Oryza sativa Japonica Group: one gene and its partners. The protein of the gene in region 3 binds, or shares a complex with, the protein of the main gene of each other region. Links are inferred from orthologs where the notes say so. Each region holds a gene or a part of one and is shown on either strand. Other genes may lie near its edges.

What was found.
Region 1: transcription initiation factor TFIID subunit 8 (region 3) and transcription initiation factor TFIID subunit 11 share a complex: the UniProt entries of both Arabidopsis thaliana proteins name them as parts of the TFIID complex. The link is inferred for Oryza sativa Japonica Group from reciprocal best matches to the Arabidopsis thaliana genes TAF8 and TAF11.
Region 2: transcription initiation factor TFIID subunit 8 (region 3) and transcription initiation factor TFIID subunit 13 share a complex: the UniProt entries of both Arabidopsis thaliana proteins name them as parts of the TFIID complex. The link is inferred for Oryza sativa Japonica Group from reciprocal best matches to the Arabidopsis thaliana genes TAF8 and TAF13.
Region 4: transcription initiation factor TFIID subunit 8 (region 3) and transcription initiation factor TFIID subunit 10 share a complex: the UniProt entries of both Arabidopsis thaliana proteins name them as parts of the TFIID complex. The link is inferred for Oryza sativa Japonica Group from reciprocal best matches to the Arabidopsis thaliana genes TAF8 and TAFII15.
Region 5: transcription initiation factor TFIID subunit 8 (region 3) and transcription initiation factor TFIID subunit 15b share a complex: the UniProt entries of both Arabidopsis thaliana proteins name them as parts of the TFIID complex. The link is inferred for Oryza sativa Japonica Group from reciprocal best matches to the Arabidopsis thaliana genes TAF8 and TAF15b.

The regions. Positions count from the first base shown.
Region 1 is NC_089035.1:28,595,789-28,599,890, reverse strand, and holds the start of transcription initiation factor TFIID subunit 11, read right to left. Parts: upstream 2,805-4,102; 5' UTR 2,764-2,804; coding exon 2,444-2,763; intron 1,816-2,443; coding exon 1,728-1,815; intron 783-1,727; coding exon 683-782; intron 442-682; coding exon 314-441; 3' UTR 1-313. UniProt on the Arabidopsis thaliana protein: TAFs are components of the transcription factor IID (TFIID) complex that is essential for mediating regulation of RNA polymerase transcription.
Region 2 is NC_089035.1:13,333,555-13,337,764, reverse strand, and holds the start of transcription initiation factor TFIID subunit 13, read right to left. Parts: upstream 2,811-4,210; 5' UTR 2,768-2,810; intron 2,681-2,767; 5' UTR 2,507-2,680; coding exon 2,302-2,506; intron 2,217-2,301; coding exon 2,179-2,216; intron 1,927-2,178; coding exon 1,867-1,926; intron 1-1,866. UniProt on the Arabidopsis thaliana protein: TAFs are components of the transcription factor IID (TFIID) complex that is essential for mediating regulation of RNA polymerase transcription. May be involved in polycomb repressive complex 2 (PRC2) mediated repression.
Region 3 is NC_089037.1:23,460,520-23,464,729, forward strand, and holds the start of transcription initiation factor TFIID subunit 8, read right to left. Parts: upstream 2,803-4,210; 5' UTR 2,504-2,802; coding exon 1,298-2,503; 3' UTR 1,190-1,297; intron 1-1,189. UniProt on the Arabidopsis thaliana protein: TAFs are components of the transcription factor IID (TFIID) complex that is essential for mediating regulation of RNA polymerase transcription.
Region 4 is NC_089043.1:20,160,800-20,164,870, forward strand, and holds the start of transcription initiation factor TFIID subunit 10, read right to left. Parts: upstream 2,802-4,071; 5' UTR 2,651-2,801; coding exon 2,471-2,650; intron 2,375-2,470; coding exon 2,310-2,374; intron 1,969-2,309; coding exon 1,906-1,968; intron 1,323-1,905; coding exon 1,265-1,322; intron 1,178-1,264; coding exon 1,127-1,177; intron 1-1,126. UniProt on the Arabidopsis thaliana protein: TAFs are components of the transcription factor IID (TFIID) complex that is essential for mediating regulation of RNA polymerase transcription.
Region 5 is NC_089035.1:3,329,991-3,334,242, forward strand, and holds the start of transcription initiation factor TFIID subunit 15b, read left to right. Parts: upstream 1-1,448; 5' UTR 1,449-1,506; coding exon 1,507-1,558; intron 1,559-1,636; coding exon 1,637-1,907; intron 1,908-2,555; coding exon 2,556-3,423; intron 3,424-4,178; coding exon 4,179-4,252. UniProt on the Arabidopsis thaliana protein: TAFs are components of the transcription factor IID (TFIID) complex that is essential for mediating regulation of RNA polymerase transcription.

The DNA of each region.
Region 1 (4,102 bases), on a different chromosome or scaffold from region 3:
TAATTGCAGACAAGCATATAATCAGATTCAGCGCATACTCCAAACAGCATAGTACACAGTTCAACTATTCATAAGCCTGAAAATTCACAGCCTACGGCCAATACTTTATACATAGAATTTTCCACGGCTAGTAGTACCGTAGTACTTCAGCTTGTACGTACTGTTTGCTCTGGTTCCCTTGCTGCGACAGAAATCACAGTAACAATTTCACAAAGCTGAAGAAATACATCTCATGTCATTCTCTCTTTCCGCGCATCTGACCGCAGAAAGGACCATCTCAGTGTCGACTGGGATCAACAGAGATGCTTCAATTCTAACGGAAGAGCCTGGGAACAGTCCGCCGTGGGATCTTCCCTTCAAGTTTCAATCTTCTGTAGGCTTCTCTGATGTGGCAAGGCCTTACTGGTCCAGAATCTTTCCTCTCAGTCATAACTATTCTAGCTGCAACAGACACAATCGAATTGTCAAAAATAAAGTGAATAAAGCCATCCCTCCTTTTTCTTCTGATGTCAGAGAACAAGTTTATGGAAAGCAGAAAAGGACATTTGAACACGGACGATTACAAAAGATCAGTCATAAGAGTGATTTGCTTTAAGAGATGAGCATACATCAAAATCATAGGTGCTTTGGTGGTAGTGTTCTATGAGCAACAAAGTAAATAAGATAATTACTCTAGACTTGCCTGTTTCAACAAGCTCACCAACAAACATCTTTGCAATTCCTGATACTACAATTGTTGTTGGTAGAGAAATCTTTTGACTGCCAGTAATGCTCGCCAATAGCTGCATGGAAACAGAATATCAAATCAACTTTAAAAAAACATGGGTGTAGCTATATTTATGGCGTCATATTTTTCATCAAAAAATAGTCGGCATGTATTTACATTGTAAGTCCCTAAATTACATATGTAATTTTAGTGTATTTACAATGTAAGTCTCAAAATTACATATGTAAGTAATAAAATTACATATGTAAATTCGAAATTACATACTAATTACATATGTAAATGGGGTGTAAATGAGGTGTAACTACTGTGTAAGTGGTTAAAAAAAATCGACTGTAGCATATGGCGCCATATTTCTAGCAACTCCGAAAAACATTCCAATAACGCAGTGATCTCATATTTCAACCACTGATGAGGAAATACATTAAAGCACTTGTCCCTCTGACTAGAACGTAATTTCAAAGCATTGTTAACTTCAGGCATTCAACAGCCAAAAGTAACATTTTTACCGAGAAAAAGGTCAAACTTTGGATTGACACTACAAAAAGGCTTTCTTAGCCTGCCTATAAATTGAAGAAAAGAATATTGACCAAGTTTGGTTTTTTATTTAGAGAGTGTACATCACTTACAATCAGTAGAAACGATGACATAGGCAAAAATGTATTTATCTACAACTTGGAGCGAAATCAACTGTCCTGTACATGAAGCTCTATCAACAATTTGGACAAGACATGCATGGTACATTGTACAACTCATGGTATGCATCCACAAAAGAAACATGAACCAAAATAGAACAGGTGTTATTCAACAGAAAATAAGGTAACTGTAAGACTTAAGAAAGCAGAAAATGTTAATGTGATCCACATTTTGTGGAAAGCTTTTATTGCAAAGGGGAACACTGAAGCCAATTCAGATGGAGGCGCCACACGCATCACACGCACATGATATTGCAGTTTATACTTGTACGATATTAAATCAATGGATGTTGGGAATGAGATCATACCTTTTTCATGTTAGATTTCTGGAATCCAGATCTGCGGAATGACTCATACCGGTTCATCTGGTCTTCTGTAAATTGAGACAGTATGGCACTGGAAAAGGAGTACATAGTTTTTCAAACATAGAATTCTTATTTAGATGGGTTTAATATTTCACTATATATATTGGAACATAAATCTGAGAAGTGCATAATGTCAGGATGTTCTGTAAATAAAATCACAAACAATTGAGAACAATCCCCTTTTCCAATTCAGAAATCTCCACTAGTACAAATCTTACTGTCACAAATTAACCAAAGTTGAACGGTGAAGGACACCAAAATACACTGAACTTGATCAAGAACATATTCTCAATAGACAGTCATATGGTTCCTAACTTTAACTGATCTTTATGCCAGTAAACGCTTCACATATAGCTGGAAACTGGGACTACAGTCTTTATGAAGTGAATAATGTCAGGTTGTTCTGTAACTACAATCACGAACAATCCTTACTCCAATTCAGAAATTTCCACTAGTACAAATCTTACTGTCACAAATTAACCAAAGTTAAAAGGGTGAAGGACGCTAAAACACTGAACTCGATCAAAGAACGTATATACTCAACAGACGGTCATATGGTTCCTGAATTTAGTTGATCCTTATGCAGTTAACCCTTCATATATAGCACGCACCAGAAGAAGGCAAAACTAGGTTTAGGATGAGCGCAGCCAAGCACCTACTTCATCTTGGCGAGCTTGTCGGGGTCGCTGGTGCCGGAGGGCAGCTTGTCGAGGTCGACCTCCATGTGGTCCTCCTCGTCATCCTCCTCCTCCTGCTGCTCCTTCTGGACCCGCACCACCTTACCCCTCGCCGCGGCCGCGGCGGCACCACCGGAGCCCGATGGCGCGGCCCTCGAAGGAGGCAGCCGCAGCGGAGGCCCGCGCGACCCGCTGGCGCCGTCGTATCCCTCGGGCGCCCCGGCCGCGTCCTCCTCGTTCGCCGCCGGCGACTCCGGCGGCGACTCCTGCTCCTCCACCGCCGCCTCGAACGGGTCCTTCATGGCCGCGGCTGGAGACGAATCGCAAGAGTCCAGAGTCTTCTGAAAATTTTTGGGCCGGGGTTGACCTACCTGCTCGCCGCCGCCGGGCTTGGTGGGCTGCTTCGCGCGTGGGCCTTTTTCTCGGGCCGGATTTCTGGGCCGATTTCTCCGTGGCGGCCGCGAGAATTTTCACCGGTGAATCAAATCGCTCGTGCCGAACGCGCCACCGCTGAGCAGCTCACGCCTCACGGCGCGTGCAGCAGCGGCGGAAACAAATTCTCTAACTGACATATGAATTTTGCAGTTCGTGAACCTACATATTAACGACGTACTCCCTCCGTCTTATAAAAGACCAACTTAGTACTAGATATAACACATCCTAATACCATAAATTTGAACACACTATACTAGAATATATCACATATAATCCTAGATTCCTTTTTTACGTCAGAGAACAACATCAGAGGAGCATTCTTTCAGCAACGGCAGATGTTACACGCTTATACACAGTTGAAACCGTGATGTGGCCTACCTCCGATGCGGACCTTACAATGGCCGGGCGCAAAGTAAAGAAAAAAGGAACAAAAAAAAACAGGATTACTACTACTACCATCATCAGAACAGCAACAAAAAAGTTTCATCTTTTCGTTCGAGACGTATCACATCGTGCAACAGGTTTTCGGGACCAGAAAACTCCCAAGCCGTGGGCACTGACCCACCGAGAGACCCATCCTGAGAACGATGCATCAAACGTGTGCAATAAAAAGCTTAAGCAGCTACAAAAACAACAACCCCGATCGATCACGCTGGGATTTGGGCATTCAGGAGGAGGATAGGATTTGCTTTGCCCCCCTCTCACAGCTTTTGCATTACCTCCGTATCGCGCCTTGTTTAGTGGAGGCCGTTTTGTTTATTGCCGCTAATCCTAACGCATAGGATTCTCGCTCGCTCACCATTGACCTCCTCTTTGCCCAAGCAAAGCCTCGCCATTAGATTACTTACCCAGATCACACAACAATATTCTTCGCTAGTTCTTGCAGCTCTCTCTCCCCTGAATAAAATTGACGGCACAAAGGTGCTTTCTGGCGCCGATCACTTTGCTCCACGAATATAAAAAACAACATACTATATGCACACACATATATACTATCATACTCCGTATGATACATCATACATGTGAATATAAAACGACGAGAGCCACATATATCGTCGTGTTTTTTTTTCCGCTTTGCTGGTGATGAGAGTGAATATTCGACCGGCTGTTCGTCTGAGGCTCGTCTGACCAAACTCCCGCTATCATTGCCGATTATTATTCCTCGCTTCGGTTGCGCTGATCGCTTTCAGCAACAGGGGGGGAGGG
Region 2 (4,210 bases), on a different chromosome or scaffold from region 3:
GTTACGGAATCATAAATAAACATTACATACACATATGGTTTTATCCACATGCAGGTATTTAAAATCAAATAAAAAATTACAGTTAACTAAATTCTTGTGTTTGGTGTGTATTTCTGCTGTTACAGAGTGCATACTAGATTGTAGTCATGTAAAAATTTTGTCCAACAACCTGGGGCAAAGTAAGTCTGCAGGGTAAACAGACCTAATAAATTCATATCGTCGCGTATTCAGATCACGCATGGACAAATTATCTACAAAAATATATTCAGACAAGTGGGGCATGTTTAGATATCTTCACCCCATGTCACAGGTACATTTCATTTACACTATGCACGATTACAAACTCAAGGTTCCATATCATGCAGGAAAGTAGACTATATAGAGACTTTAAAGAAAATGCCTTTCTTAATATAGTTTACAGATAATTTAAGCAGGGAAGAACTGCCAAAAGATGGCAAAGCTCTATGAATCATTAACAAAAAGGGCTCCACAAGAGATGCAAATCCTGGTGATAACTATAACCGTTGCTGAACAGGTATGGAGTGTACCAGCCAGAACAATTTAAATTGGAGTGAATTGCACCTTGGGCTAGGAATATTTACCCAACTTTCTATTTGAACCATATGCTCTAGCCAATGTTTTTACTTTGGATTATGTATGTTTGCCTCTATGTTGCAATTTGGGCTTATATAACTGTCTGTAGAACTCTTTCTCCACCCGCAGTTCTACCAATGCCATCACAATCGCTACACTCTGCCTATGCACAGTAATCCACCAGCTCCAGCTTTTGCTCAGCCTCGAGCTCCACTAGTGTTAGCCCCTGATTTGAGCTCAAGATGCTCCACCATAGCGCTGAGACGGTGTTCCGGCCAGTGGGTGCAAGAGCAGGGGATGGTCAGGTGATTAGCATGGAGAGGTCTGGAAGGTTTGTCACTGTATGAAGCTCTTCAACTTATCTGGTGGTTTATGATTGAGAAGGGAACTGAGGATGGAAAAAGTTAATTAAGGCTTTTATTTGTGGTGGACTAGCTGAGAAAGGCTTGGCAAGATGCTCCACCATAGCGGCCTGCACAAATGAGCTGCCGCAACGAGAGCACATGATGGCGCACAAGGAGAGGAGACGAGAGGACTGACGAGGAAGATGACTATATGGAGGCTGACGTGTGGGACTAATGGTCCAAAGTGCAAAATTTGATACCATAAGCTGGTTCAAAGTGAAAACCTTTGATAATACCTAATCCAATGTGCAACTTAGGAAATAAAATCTAGTCCAAAGTACAGTTCACACTTAAATTAAAGTTCAGATTTGAGACCATAAGAATAAAGTATAACTTTATATTTTCTTGAAATTTCATGTACAGGTACACTAGTTTACTTTCATATGCCGGATCTGAATTATTACATATTAGCATGCAAAAAGTTCGAATCCAATATTTTTATCACAAAACTGGTTTACTGCCGGTAACTAGCTGGTAACTGGTTTTTTGATTCAAAATTTTGGAATCGAACTTTTGTCCAGTAGAGACCTGGCAACTTATTTTCCAGAGGGAGTAGTTCTTTTTTCCCGAAACCAGTGTTCAAACTTCAAGCCCTTGGGCTCTACACAAATATGAACTATAGGTTAAAGTGAAGCCCCTATTAATTCTCAAAACATAAAAGGCTTCATGTTTCCCGACAAACAGAAGCACTGAACCTAATCACTCTTTCCAGAAAACTACCTAATCACTCTTTCCAGAACACTAGAATTGAATTAAATAAGGCAACAAATAAGGATGTCGAAATCCAAATAAACTCCTTTCATCCATACAACCTTCATAAATGTAATTTCAGTAGAAAACAAGAAAGACAAATACAATGAAAGCTTACCAGGTCAGTGACATATTCTACAACAATGTCCTCCACAAGTGCAACAGTTTCTGGAAGCGGCTGCAAAACCAACAGAAAGATGTCATTTACATACAAGATTTTAACTTAAAAGGTAGAACAGCATGTCCATTCTTTCTTAGGCAATCATGTAGTTGTGTTGTAAATCCATGGCCTACTTGCAATTATTGTCGTTGTCGGTGTTAATTACCTCCAATGTTCCACAACACAAAGTACACAAATTGCATCCTATCCCCAAACAATTCCTAGCCTGAAAATTAAGAGATGAAAGGCATAGATCGAGGTCGGGCTTACATTTGGATCATCCCCAAATCCGTACATCATGTGCTGCACTGCAAGAACGGGGAAAAATGCAGCATAAACAACGAATTCGAAGAACAGCAGCAGTACTAAAGTTTAGAAAAAACAGTGCCGTACGGTCTTTCTGGAAGACGCCGCGCTTGCGCTTGAGGGTGGTGGCGGACGCGTCGGCGCCGCCGCCGCCGCCGCCGCCGCCGCCGGAGTGGTGGTGGTGGTGGTGGTGGGAGCTCCCCTGGCCCGACGCCGACGCGGCGGCAGCGGTCGAGGACTTGGACTTGGCCGCCGAGGCCGGGCTAGCGTGGTGGCCGCCAGGGTTCTGCATCCCGGCGGAAGAGCGAAGGACGCGAGGGGTGAGGGAGGGAGACGGACGCCGCCCGCCCCCTCTTCCCGACGGCCGGCGGCGCTCCCCTCCCCTTCCCTTCGCTCCTCGCCGCCGCTTGGATTTAGGGCTTTCGCGTGCACTATGCACAGCCGTGATGGATTTCTGAGGGGCGAACTGGAAGGAAACGAGTGGAGTCAGCCTCACACTAGCGGCGGAGCGTAAGGCCGGGAAGGGGGAGAGGCAATCGCGGCGGAAGCGTACCGGCGGCGAAGGGAAGGAAGCAGCTGGTGAGCGTACCGGCGGCGATTCGAGAATTTTCCGGTCCTTGCGGCTTGTATGGTATGATTTGGAGTTTACACGAGGGAATTGCGGATGAGATTAAGATGAGAATTTAATTTTTAATCCTAATATCTTGTTTGGTAGAGATGATAAAAATTGATAAGGAGTTTAGTTAGAGATTAGGTCATTAATAAAAATGGATGGCTGAGATTTGCTTAGACAAAGTAAAGGAGGAATTCCCTCCCAATTACCTGCCGTATTGAAAAGGAGGGATCTACATCCCACCAAAATTCTTATGTCTCCCAACCAAACAAAACACTTAATAGCCTCATCCCTCTAAACTCCCAATCCCTCCTGAAAACTCTCTCCAACCAAACGGGCCATTTGAGAAATTTTGCAACACACCATATTGTCCAGTTTTGCATTACCGTTTTCGAGTGAAGACCGGTTTGTATCGGTTTGGTAAAAAAAACAATAAGAATAGCAATTTTTAATCAATTTCATACGAAAATTGCTACTCACTCCGTTCCAAAATATAACAACCTGTACTAGATGAGACATATCTTAGTACAATGAATCTGGACAGAGGTACAAGGTTGCTATATTTGAGGGAGTAAAACCACTTAGTTTTCGTAAACCAGTCCCCACGGCATTTTTACGAGAACTGGGTGATTTTCAGTCAGTGATTGCAACATTAGACTTGAGATACAGGAGAGCATAGATAAAGAAGACATGAGCCACTTAAAGATAAAGGAGAAATAACACTTTCAAAAATATTAGAGCACTTAAAAAAGGATAATGAGTTAGTACTTAGAAATGTGAAGAAAATGGTTCATATAGGGAAAGGACGAGGAACAGGCAAATTATTGTACCTATGGCTAGATCTGATAATAGAGAGTAGAGCGTCAACAACTCGACAATAATGATAACCAAATAGCTAAACGTTTCCAATAGAAAGTTAGAAGTCAATGTTGGAGCACTTGCCACCGCCGCTAAAGAGATGGCTAAATCTAAGTGCCATTAAAATTAGATCATGGCGATGTGCTTAAGGACCGATGACGATGAATGAACAAGGATTTGCAATGGGACCTACAACTAGATTAGTGGTTGTGGTGGTAATGTGCACAAGGAGAAAGAGTGGCAAACCTCTGGTCTTAAATGACATGACAACTTGCAACTTGATATCTTAACTCTTTCAATACTCCAAAGTAATATTCTTGGAAGATATGGACCTAATGAGAAACGGGTGGAGATATGAATTCATCTTTTTTCAATGGCAACTTCATTTTTAGAATGTTCCTCAATGCCCTTTTTTTTTAATTCCTAAAACTTGTTGCCTACCTCCCACTTTGTTTTTTTTTTTGTTATCTTTGGTACTAAGGAATTGACTTTATGCCACCGAGTTTAGTACTCCATCCGTCTCAA
Region 3 (4,210 bases):
TACTTATAAATTTTGAAGTTTTTTAAGTAAAGTTTATTTCTATTATATAATACGGTTAACAATATAGTTTTGTCATGTAAATTATAATCAATAAGTTCGCTATAATTTATATCACAAAAATTAATGAAACTTTGTAAAACCAACCATGACTACTTAACAAAAGAAATGGACAAATATTTTCATTAATAAAATAATCTAAAATAATGGGTACATAATATAATATAATGGTGTAAACTTTATTTTCAAGTATTGTAGAGCTAATTCATTTATGTATACTTGTAAAAGAGTTATATGCTGATATATTATTCTATGTTTGTAAAGTAACTTTTATTTAAAATTTATTATCACTAATAATAGTAATAATAATTGTCTCAACTATATACATTGAAAAGAAAAAAAGTTACGTACTAACGTACGTACATATATATACCATGGAAGGAGAGGTGGAACAGTATAGTCACTTTTCGTGTTTGGATTTATTTAAAGATCCACTGATTTAAGTGAAAATCAAGGGATAGATGTTTTGCTTTTTTTTTCTCAGATTTTCTACGATTTTCTTTACTTCCTCCGTTTCACAATGTAAGACTTTCTAGCATTGCCCACATTCATATAGATGTTAATAAATCTATACACATATGTGGCTAGATTCATTAACATCTATATGAATATGAGTAATGCTAGAAAGTCTTACATTGTGAAACGGAGGAAGTAGTTTATTAGAGCACCATATGGCGGCTTGAGAGCGTTTTGAGGAAGTTTAATGACCTTTTAGTATATAATAGATAGATAGATTGCATGTGCGTATCAGCAATCCTTCTAATTTAGGATATTAGTGCGGTGGTGGTAGCCTACAAGGAATCCAGTTAATCAGAACTAGCAGTGGAAGGTAGATTCGCAATTTTTGAACTGTATACAGTGGATGCTATTTTTCTAACCAAAGCTTTAAGGAAAAGCATAACAGAATGTGACTACCACATATATTCAACACATAAACCATCCATGTAGCATTCTCTGTTATCTCGTGATGTGATAACTTTGTACTTTTAAATACAAAATGTGCATATTACAAAAAAAAGGATATTCTTGTGTAGTTATGTGGTTTTCAGTTATACACTCAAATTAATAGAGATGCACGTAATGGCTATGAAGTAAATCTGCCAGGAACAGTTAAGTGAAAAAACAAACAAACCTCAAGATCTTGGCAAATGCTGCTCCAACATGAATTTGAAAAGTCCCTAGTTTAGCCAGTCCAAAATTCACCATGCAGCTCTGTGGGTACTGCAAACATACAGGAACGTTAAAGCTGAGTAAGTTCATGTGGATTATCCATTGCTTCCCTTAGTATCAACTCTGCCCTCTGCTCCTTATCCTCCTTGAAGAACCAGGGATCCTTCAGTTCAACCAGAGCTCTCGAATTCAGTGCCATCACCATTGACTTCTTATCAATCCCAATTCTAAAATACACCGGTGGCCTCTCTTTTGGAACAACCCTCTTCTGAGTCTGACTATCATTTTGGCCCTGATCCATACCCTCATCAAATTCTCCACCTTTTGATTCTTCAAATGCGGGTGCGAAGGCCTCAACAACAGAGAATGTCTTCCCCACACCAGGCATGGTAACCTCGGACACCGCCTTCTCCCCATAAGGCAAAGCTCGCTCATGAAACGGATTCGCCTTGCTCTCAACCACATCTAGTCCGTTCGCTTTGACTGCATCATCGACCAGCATTCCTGGTCGGAACCCGTCGGCACCTGCAAGAGCAAGACGCCGTTGCAGGCTGAGCAGCGACTTCTCAGCTTTCCTCCGCTGCCGCGCCCGCTCCACCTCATCCGCCCCAGCCTTAGCCACCTCCTCACTCCACAACTCGCTCCTCACATACGTGTGAGGTTCCGGAAAGGCCGGGAGCCATTCCGGGACATGGCTCATCCCGCTCTCCCTACCCAAGACCGCAAAGCTCGTCGTCGAGTGCAGCGGCACACGCTGTACCGGAAACCTCGGCAATGGCCGGCCCGCGAACGGGGATTCCTTGGACGCGCCAACAAACACGGCCATATCCTTGACGACGGCGGAGTTGGCGAGGCAACGGGCAGAAACCGAGGCGGCCCCCGCGAAGCCATAGTAGGCCGCGCCGCACTCCTCGAGGAACTGTATGACGTCGCACTCGTTTGCGGCGGCGCGGCCGGCGAGGTTGGCGTGGAACGTGGCGGCACGGCCGAGCTGGCAGATGTACCGCAGGAGGACGTCGACGAGCGCGTCCACCGCCGAGCGGTGCGCGCAGACGAAGCCAGCCGCCTCCAGCATCCGCGCCACCGCCGCCCTCGCCACCGCCCTCCCGAAGTCCCCTCCTCCACCCGCTGCTGCCGCCGCTGCTCCTCCCCCTCCTCCTCCTCCTCCTCCTCCTGCTCCTCCGCCACCACCGCCGCCTACCCTGCCGGCCCGGCCACCACCCCCGCCGCCTCTGCTGCTCATGCTCGCCTTCGCGCTCGGCCGCGCCCCAATCATACCGGCGGCACCTCTATCCCACCGCCGCGAACCCAGGCCGCGCCGCCATCGAGGGGGGGAGTGGCAGCGCCAAAATTGCGGGGGAATTCGAGCACCGGTGGTCGAAATCGGGATGGAAATCTAGGGTTTAGGGGTTGACCGTTGGGGAATCGGGCACGCGGAGGCGGCGGAGCTCGGAATTCGGAGAGAAATCCAAACCCCAAGCTGGCGAAATGGGGAGAGGGAGACGACTTGAGTTGACTACACTAGCGAGAGAGCGAGGAGGACACAAGCAGCAGCGGAGAGAGAGAGAGAGGCGTGTCGGCTGAATGCGGAATGCCTCAACACAGGAAGATTTCGGCCATCTTCCGACGGCGGGGAATGAACGGCCAGGATTTTCCATTCTCGATTCAGGAGCTTTGTCACTCGATGGGTGGATTATCGGGTGCTTCTATGGTCTATACAAAACAAAGTCAACATGGAAGGCATCCACAATGGTTATTTATAGGCTCTCTACAAGAGATCCATGTCAGCATATTTTTCTACTTGGAAGGTATTAAATGAAGAGAGAGAGCAAAGCTATCTACTAACTTATAGATAGTCTATAGAGAAAAACGAGGCAATGCATGAGAGAGCTATAGATACCAATGTAGACATACTATTGAAGTGGTTTACTATTAATCGAGTCTATTGCTGAGATGTACATGTTTTATAGAGAGCACCTTAGAGCACCCGAACCATTCGTCTATTGCTGAGATGTACATGTTTTATAGAGAGCACCTTAGAGCACCTGAACCATTGCGGATGGTTCGGGTGCTCTAAGGTGCTCTCTATAAAACATGTACATCTCAGCAATAGACTCGATTAATAGTAAACCACCTCAATAGTATGTCTACATTGGTATCTATAGCTCTCTCATGCATTGCCTCGTTTTTCTCTATAGACTATCTATAAGTTAGTAGATAGCTTTGCTCTCTCTCTTCATTTAATACCTTCCAAGTAGGAAAATATGCTGACATAGATCTCTTGTAGAGAGCCTATAGATAACCATTGTGGGTGCCCTAAGGGCAGCCCCAACCCTCCATCTAGGATGGTGTCTATAGCATTAACTACATTGCCATGTAGGACTTTTAGCTTATATGGCACTATATTAATTCAGAGAGTAAGTGAAGAGAGGAAGAAACTGGGTCTCATGCAAGACACAGCCTCAACACGAGAACCTATGCACTAGACACTATCAAATTTTGTATTGGGAGAGAATAGTATCTTCATAATAGATGAAGAATAAATATGATTGGTAGAGAAGAGAGATGATGTATTTATTAGTGGCCTAGTTTAAGAAACCATGGGTTGTAGAGTGTAGTTTCTATTGTGATGTCTTATTGACATGATATCATAGACACTGCTTATGGACACTATGGGTTGGGACTGCCCTAATAGGGTAGGCGGACACTCAAAGGTTAAATTGGTTTTATTTAGAGAAGAGTAAAGTGTGTTGGCGGTCCTTAAACTTGTAGGGTTGTGTCGTATATGTCTCTAAACTCTCAAAATGGATATCCAGGTCTCAGAACTTGTCAAAGTGTATCATCTTGGCCCCAAATTGATACATCCCCTCTAGGATCCTACGTGGCGCTGATGTGGCAATGCCACATGGACGTGACGTGTCCTTTTCTTTTTTTTCTTTTTTTCCTTTTCTTTTCCGTTTTCTTCTCATTCTTCTTTTTTTTC
Region 4 (4,071 bases), on a different chromosome or scaffold from region 3:
AAACAAAAATAAATCTCAAATTGGTAGTATGTGGAACAAACATATTTCATGAAAGCACAAAGCTTCTATAATGATAGCTCATCTGTAGAGCATTACAGTCCAGAGTTATGTGATATTGTGACATGTCAAGGATGCCCTTTTGTGTGAGGTTTCGTGTGTAGAAGGTAGATTGATTCTGAACCATGGAATTGTAAACATAAGTGTACTGACCATGATGTGATTATAGCTGAATCAGTCATTTGCCAAGAATATTGCTGGGAAGGGAAAGCATAGAAGATCATTTGTCAAATAGACCTGTATATGAGCAGCTCATCCCTGTATATGAGCAGCTCATCCCAGGTCTGCTTAAATGCTTATTTCATGTACTATAATGTATGTGTTCTGGGGAGTGGATTCTAATCCCTCGAGGGGATGTCCCCTCGTATATATTTTTCTTTCAAAATCAATGCAAATATAGTTGTTAAAAATTCTGAAAAATATTGACAATGTAGAGTACAATTATATCTAATAGTCCACCAAAAATAAAGTTCAAATTCGACCTACACATCGAGAACCCAAAAAGACAAATTCAGATATTAACAGTGCGGTACTATTTATACGCTGAATTTGTCTTTTTTTATATCTCGATGTGTGAGTTGAATTTGGACTTAAGATTTTGTGAAGTTGTATAGATATGTTGTATAAGTGTTGTCAAATTTTTCTAGAATTTTTCATAACCGTTTAGATGATTTTTAAGCGGCACATCCCCTCAAGGGATCAAAATAGTTTCCCATTTGTTCTTCTGGTAAAATATTCCAATACAAGTAGGCTGTGACTGATTGTTGAGTTGATTAGTCTATCTGAATTGTGATTAATCGTGAGCATCGTGAAGCATATACAACTGATCAATTTGGCTACTTGTTTCATTAAAAAAAACATTAACAAGTAATCCCATTGGTCTAAAAAAGGTTAACTAAATCCATTCTACAGTAGATTTATTAATGCAGAGATTCAAGTCCTAATAAAACTAATAATTGCAATTATACGTCAAACTGAATAAACTGTGACTTCAATCACGTAAAGTACAGTGGTAACTGGTGAGCTGCAGTAAAAGGGAAAGCTTAAATTCAACAGGAAAATGGTTTACCTCTTGCAAGGCCTTGGAAAGATCATCCATTGTTAACACAAGACGCCTATCCTGAAGAACAGAATGACTGAACCAGTAAATAAAAGTACTGATTTCATGCTAGTAGTACCATGGTACACCAACTGCAATTAAACCCACCTTAGGTTGCTTGCTCTTGTTATCTTTGATAGGTGCTGCTACCCTGGCTTTGCAGTGCCTAGTTCAGGACAATAATCATGTGATGAACAAATTAGTGTGCATGATACCTTTTAACTGTCACAAGTTATGATACAAGCAACACCATAAGAAGCTTGACTTTACACATAAAGTTTCAGTCAGTACTGAAATTAGATTCCCTACCACATCAATGTTATGCATATTTCGCAATCTATTGTCTTAACAATATAGACATAAGATACCATGTTTGATGTTTCATTCCATGGTCATAATGTGAGAAGGATGATAGAAACAAAAAAAAGGAAGCACAAAGAAGATGCAAGTTGACAGTATGAAGAAAACAAGCCTAAAATCAACATGGTTATCTCAAAAAGCTGCCAGCATAGGAGAAATGAGGCTACTCAACATCTCAAGAATGAAGCATATTGCATACACCTCCATTTATGAATGATGCAAGAAACCTCATGGTTCATGACCATCATCAGAAATCATATTTCTCATTCACTATCTGAAGGTAACGAAAATTCGACTCCAAGAATCGATAACCACTAAAAAGGAACAAAATAATCGCACATACGTTTAAGTTGGAAAACAAAACGAATGAGGCAGTAAAAGTTACATACTGAAGAGAGTCGCTTGCAATGTCCGAAATGAACTTTTGGGTGGCTACAGCAACCAGCCTCGTTCTGCAGAGAACACAAAAATTATGGTTCATAAGGCCATGCTGTCACACATGACGACCAACAATCACCAAGCTGAAAGGGATACAGCGATTTTCTCCCTCGACTAGAATGGCAACACGCTGCATTACAATGCAATCCTAACAGCCTCAATCAGATCTAACTGTCACCATGTTGTACGTACTAAGAATCAGGCAAAATTCAGTCCAAATCTCTTCAGTGATTTCCGGGCACTGGACGAATTTCAGTTTAATAACTACCAATTGGCCCATCCTGGAAGGCACGGTGCAGTCTTCCTGAAAGAGAGAAGAGATTGAACTATTGGAGAGATAGATGGGGGTGCTTACAGGCGGAGGTCGGGGCAGTAGAAGCCGCTGCGGCCAAGGTAGTGCTCCACCAGCTCGTCGGGAATCTGCCGCACCACCACCACCACCACCACCACCACCGCATCAGACACGAAACCCAAGAGAGGGGGAAGCTAGGGCAAGATGGGCGGCAGGCGCCGTACCGTAGGGGTGTAGTCCATGAGGGAGGAGAGGAACTCGGTGAGGACCGCCTCGTCGTCGTGCCGCCCGTCTCCGCCGCCGCCGCCGCCGGCGGCGGCTGCCCCCATGGGCCCTCCTCCCCCCATGCCCCCCGGAACCATGGCGCCACCGCCGCCTCCGCCTGCGCTGTTGCTCCCCATCATCCTCTGGTCCCCCGCCTTCGCCGGAGGAGCTAGTGGGGTTTGAGATCTGGCACGTCGGCGGGGAAGTTCGCCGCCGATGGACCAGGAAGAGCGGCGGGAGTCGTCGTCGTCGCCGGAGGCTCGAGAAGGAGGGGGGAAGAGGGAGGGGAGTGGTGGGCTGTACTCCGGCCCTTTTGGTAATAAGCGTAGGATGGGCGGAGTTCAGGCCCGTTTGGAAAAAAAAGGGATAAGTCTATTTTACACCTATGAAGTCTTCGTTTTTGTCTAAAACTAGAAAAAAAAAGTCTATGCATTGGAACGGGTAAATGCTATTTTAATTTTATTGTTGTTATACGGTTTAGCTACGGTAAAATTCACTGTGAAAATTTGATTGGATATTTTTTCAGAAAATCATGAGCTGCAATTAGGAGACCGTATTTAATTTGAAGTTAGCATGTGAGTTTTTTTAAAAGATTTCTTATACGACTTACTTCCAATAGGAAATAAGCTTAAAATCTAACTCAAACACGGTTCTGTATTTTCAAAAGTGAACGAACTTAAAAACCGACTCAAATATGGATGACAAACCAAAATTCTAGCAAAAACATCTTCAGTTTTTATAATAGTAGAGATACACCCAATACTCTAAAGCCGGATATTTCACACCCTCTAACTTTTAATACCATTCACTTTATACCCCCTGAGCGGTTTACACCACGTCAGCAGGTCCTACAGTCTTCTTTCACCTTCCCCTCTCTTTCGACTCCCTCCCTCTATGAGCTTGAGGCAGCCATGACGAGATGGACGGAGCTGCGAGCTAGATGCGAGCATAGAGAAGAAAGGGGTCGGCGGAGAGCTTCGTGCCGAGCCCACCCCCTTGGTCGTGCTCGGAAGAAAAGGAAGGTTGGCAGCAAGCTCGATGTGGAGCTTGCCCCTTGGCTGAGGTCAGAGAAGAGGGGGGTTGGCGGCGAGCTTGGAGAAGAGGAACTGCTGAGCACGGAGAAGACGGGATCACCAGCAAGTTCCAAGGAGGGTTGATGGGCAGTAATCGGCCCCTCCTACCCAAGCTTCGATGTCATCATAAGCTCTGAGATCCGCTGCCACTCGTCCTATCCAAGTGTTGCTGTCATCGTAGACCCAGAGCTCTCCCCCCCCCAACACCCACTTGCCGAGGTCAGAGAAGACAAGTGCCAGCAGCACAACCTCGATCCCACGATAAGCTCAATGAAGGAGCCGATGCCGCTGGGCCTGCTACACAAGCTCAGGGAAGTCGTCGGCACTCGCCTCATTGAGCTCAGGGAGGTTGCCTCGCTACTCTACTTGTTAAGCTCGGGAACTCATCAACGGCCTTCTACCCTCGTCATTCATCTCGAAGAGGAGAAGGAGAGGAAAGAGGAAGAAGAAGAGTAAGAGGAAAGAGGGGAGGTGGCCTACGGGTCCCA
Region 5 (4,252 bases), on a different chromosome or scaffold from region 3:
GGGCATTTTTAAGAGAAGAAATCGCATGCTTGTAATCTGTTTGGCGATTGGTCAGTCTGACATAGATAACGAATGTTCAGAAGGATGATATGCAGATTTGTCAGAGAACGTGCTGCCCGCGTGTGTCCTCAAGACTTCAACTGCAATATCTGGTTCTCCGTGTAGGCAGAGAGATGTTCCCCAACGCAATGCCGCGCAAAATAATCAATTTTGCCGGCAGAGCGACAACTTGTTTTATAATCTGAAAACGAACTGACATCTTATTTTATCTGTAAAATGTGCAGTTCATGTAGGAGCATGATGTGCGTCCATGTTTTGTCTGAAACCGACTGAAAGATAAACAGAGAGCACTGGAGTAAGAGAATTTTCTGATTGTTTCTACATAGGAGTAGGAGAGTTTAAGGCGAAAGTTACTGGATGGAAAGGAAGTCTGACTAATCGAGCTTACCCAAAAATTCACAAAACGTAGCATCTCCATCCCATCAAGAGCAATATGTGCTCTAGTTCTTGTTTTTCATCTTGAGGGAGAAATTATCCGATTAAGTTTACATGTCTGAAGAGCCTAATCATTTTTGTATATCACTTATATGTGCTGTCCTAAAGATTTGATTTATGGAAGAGTAGAAGACAATTCTCACTTCACATTCCAAACAGGTCATAAATCGACAATATCGCTTGTTATTGTGCGGTTTCCGCGGTAACCGGACTTACCTTTGGATACACTAATAGTAACTTATCCCGTCAAATTCAAATAAATTTACATAATAATATGAACTTCTAATAGCATCGTCTAGTTTTTCATGGTTTACCGTGTGATTACCGTGCTTACGATTGGGTGCGGTAACTCAACCCCTGATGGTAAGGTTAGCCCTGCTCTAACTAGGAAAAAACAATAACAAACAGATATATAAGACACAGGTTTAACATCAGTACTCTTAACTATTCCCTCCGCTCAAAAATATACTACCTCCATTCTAGAATATTCGTCGTTTTGAGTTTTTTATTTGTAATGTTTGACCATTCGTCTTATTTAAAAGATTATGTTATTATTATTTATTTTGTTTGTGACTTGTTTTATTATCAAAATACCTTAAGTATGACTTATCCTTTTTAGGTTTGCATTATTTTTTAAATAAGACGAATGGTCGAATATTGCAAGCAAAAAGTCAAAACGATATCTAATTTGGGATGGAGGTAGTAATAAATTTTGACACTTTCATTTGTCCACAAAAGGCTAGTGAATATTATTAATGGGCTGGGCCAAACACCCACCAAAGAAAATTCCCAATGGGCCTTGAGTGATCCCCAATATACAGCCCATTACATGTACACCCCAGCAATCCAGGCCCACACGCAGCGAGAGAATTCGACTCCCGTTTAATTCCGGCCCAAATCCATCTCTTTCGACTGCTTACTTCTGCCCTAATCCACACACGTATCAGAAATTCGGAATACTCTGTTCGCACTTGCCCTTCCGGAACGCTCCCAAACCCTAGGCGCGTGACCATGTCGGGGTCGTACGGATCCGACGACTACCGCGGCGGCTACGGCGGCCGAGGTCGCGTCGGGATCCTGCGGGTTGTGTGCGTGCTTGCTTCTGGATCTGCTCCTGACTGGCTTGTGGTTTTTTTTGTAGGTGGCGGCGGAGGCGGCCGTGGGAGGGGAGGTGGCGGAGGAGGAGGGGGAGGATATGGTGGTGGTGGTGTGGGAGGTGGATATGGTGGTGGTGGCGGAGGATATGGCGGCGGTGGCGGAGGGTACGGCGGCGGTGGTAGAGGTGGCGGTGGAGGAGGAGGCTACGGCGGCGGTGGCGGCGGCGGGAGAGGTGGGGGTGGGGGTGGCGGTGGCCGAGGTGGCGGCGGGAGGGGTGGAGGACGTGACGGTGACTGGGTTTGCCCAGACCCGAGGTTTGTTTCGTTTACTCATTTGACGTTGTCTCGTTTGATTCGACTGTGACTGATGAAATCGTGGTTGTCCCGATTGTCTTGTAAATTATGCTACTTGGCCATGAAATCTAGGGTTTTTAGGTTGTTAAATTATAAATTATTGGGTTATTTGATAATTTGGTTTAGGATTTTGCATGGGGCATGTGTGAAGTGTCCTACTAAATTTTTGTTTCATCGTAGTATTGTGAGCATCAGAACTGCCAACAAATAGTTAACTGCATAATTCATTCTCTATGAGAGCTCCCTATAATCTTAGGTCACAAGTGCTAAATTTATGTTGAACCTCTAGATACATAAATATTATGTTATACTTGTCTCCCATGATTTCTTCCCCTCCCCTATGTTCTATTTTCCTTGGTATAGCAGAGTGGCAGAGAAGAAATTTCATATATGTTTTTGAAATGAGTTCATGGTGTTATTGGAAGCATTACAAAATACAGTAAATAAGCACTACAAAATACAGTAAATACTTTCTTTTATGAATATGTTTCTTTCAATATGGCATTAGTTGTCTTGCTGAGTTGGTTATATTTTGCAGAATATTCGGTTGCAATTTCATTGGTTCTCTTCCAATATTCCTAATATATTTGTTTATCATTCTTGTTCCAGTTGTGGCAATGTGAACTTTGCAAGGAGGACTGAATGCAACAAGTGTGGAGCACCTTCTCCTGCTGGAGGTGGAGGTGGAGGTGGAGGTGGAGGGTATAATAAATCTGGTGGAGGGGGTGGAGGCTACAATCGTGGTGGTGGCGATTTTAGTTCTGGAGGTGGCGGTGGCTACAACAGAGGTGGAGGAGATTACAACTCTGGTGGCCGTGGTGGTGGCACTGGAGGGGGAGGAAGAGGAGGAGGTTACAATAGAGGTGGTGGCGATGATCGTGGATTTGATGACCACCGTGGTGGCAGGGGTGGTTATGGGGGAAGAGACCAAGGGAACAACCAAAGGGGAGACGAAAGTGGTTATGACGCTGGTAGCTATGGACAAGTTCCTCCTCAAGGTCCTCCTTCCTATGGTGGGCCTGGTGGTGACTATGCAGCACCTCCAAGCTCCTATGGAGGCAATAATGCATACAATTCAGATTCTGCAGTGCCACCTCCTAGTAGCTATGGTGGTGGTCCAGGTTCATATCCACCAAGTTATGGTGCACCACCTCCGAACCCGCCATATAGCGGTGGTGCTCCAGGTGGCCAAGGTAGCCTACCTCCTTCATATGATGGTGGGTATGGTGGTCGGCCTATGCCTGGGGGTGGAGGCCCTGGTGCACCTCCACCCTATCATGGTGGTGGTGGTGGTGGTGGTGGCGGCGGCGGTGGCGGCGGATACACTGGCAGTGCTGCTCCAGAGCCAGCTGCAAAGGTTAAGCAGTGTGATGCAAACTGTGATGAGACTTGTGATAATGCAAGAATTTACATCTCCAACTTACCTCCTGATGTGACTGTTGAGGAACTGCAAGAACTATTTGGAGGAATCGGCCAGGTATACTTTGACCTCCTCTTGAGCTCCCACATATTTAGTGTTTATGAACTGTGCATTTCACGATTCGCTCACTGAAATATTTTGTGCATTTTATGTCTTTTTTCTAACCTCATGTTTTTCATTTTATGTGTTTCGCCATAATATCTTTTTCCAGTGTTACTGATATTACTTGTTGGAATTTAAGTAAATTTACAAATCAGTATTCAGATGATGTTTATAATCTGTAGTTGGGCTTGTTAACATTTTTTTCCCCTTTTGCTTTCACTACTGCTAGCACATTGCAAGTCATAGTTTTGCACAAAATCTGCTCCATCTGTTGTATACAGCGCAGTTAGAGCGAGCTTATTACATATTGTTTTTTTCCTTGCTAGTGGAGAAGTACACCCTTGTGTTTCAATGTGCATAATTAAATTTGGATATTTGTTTTGATGTAACATAATCATCTTGCAGTAATGATGCTCTTTTTTTTTGTAGAAGTAGTAGTACTGTAATTTTAGTTATAACCAAGCCATTCAATGATTTTGTAGTAATTTTGCTTTACTCCCATATTGGTATTTTATGCCAAATAATTCGTGGCATATCACCCCATGATGTTAATGTAAAATCTTTGATAATAAAGTAAAGTTGGTTTTACAGATTACTTAGTGTTCCTAGCTAAATTTATTGCAAGAAATTAATTTCTTTAGTTTTGGGGGTGGTAACTGCTTGTGTTTCATGGCTGTGTTTTGAGTTTTTGCAACTGCTTTTTTCTTAAGGTTGGAAGGATCAAGCAGAAACGTGGCTACAAAGACCAGTGGCCCTGGAACATAAAGATCTATACTGATGACTC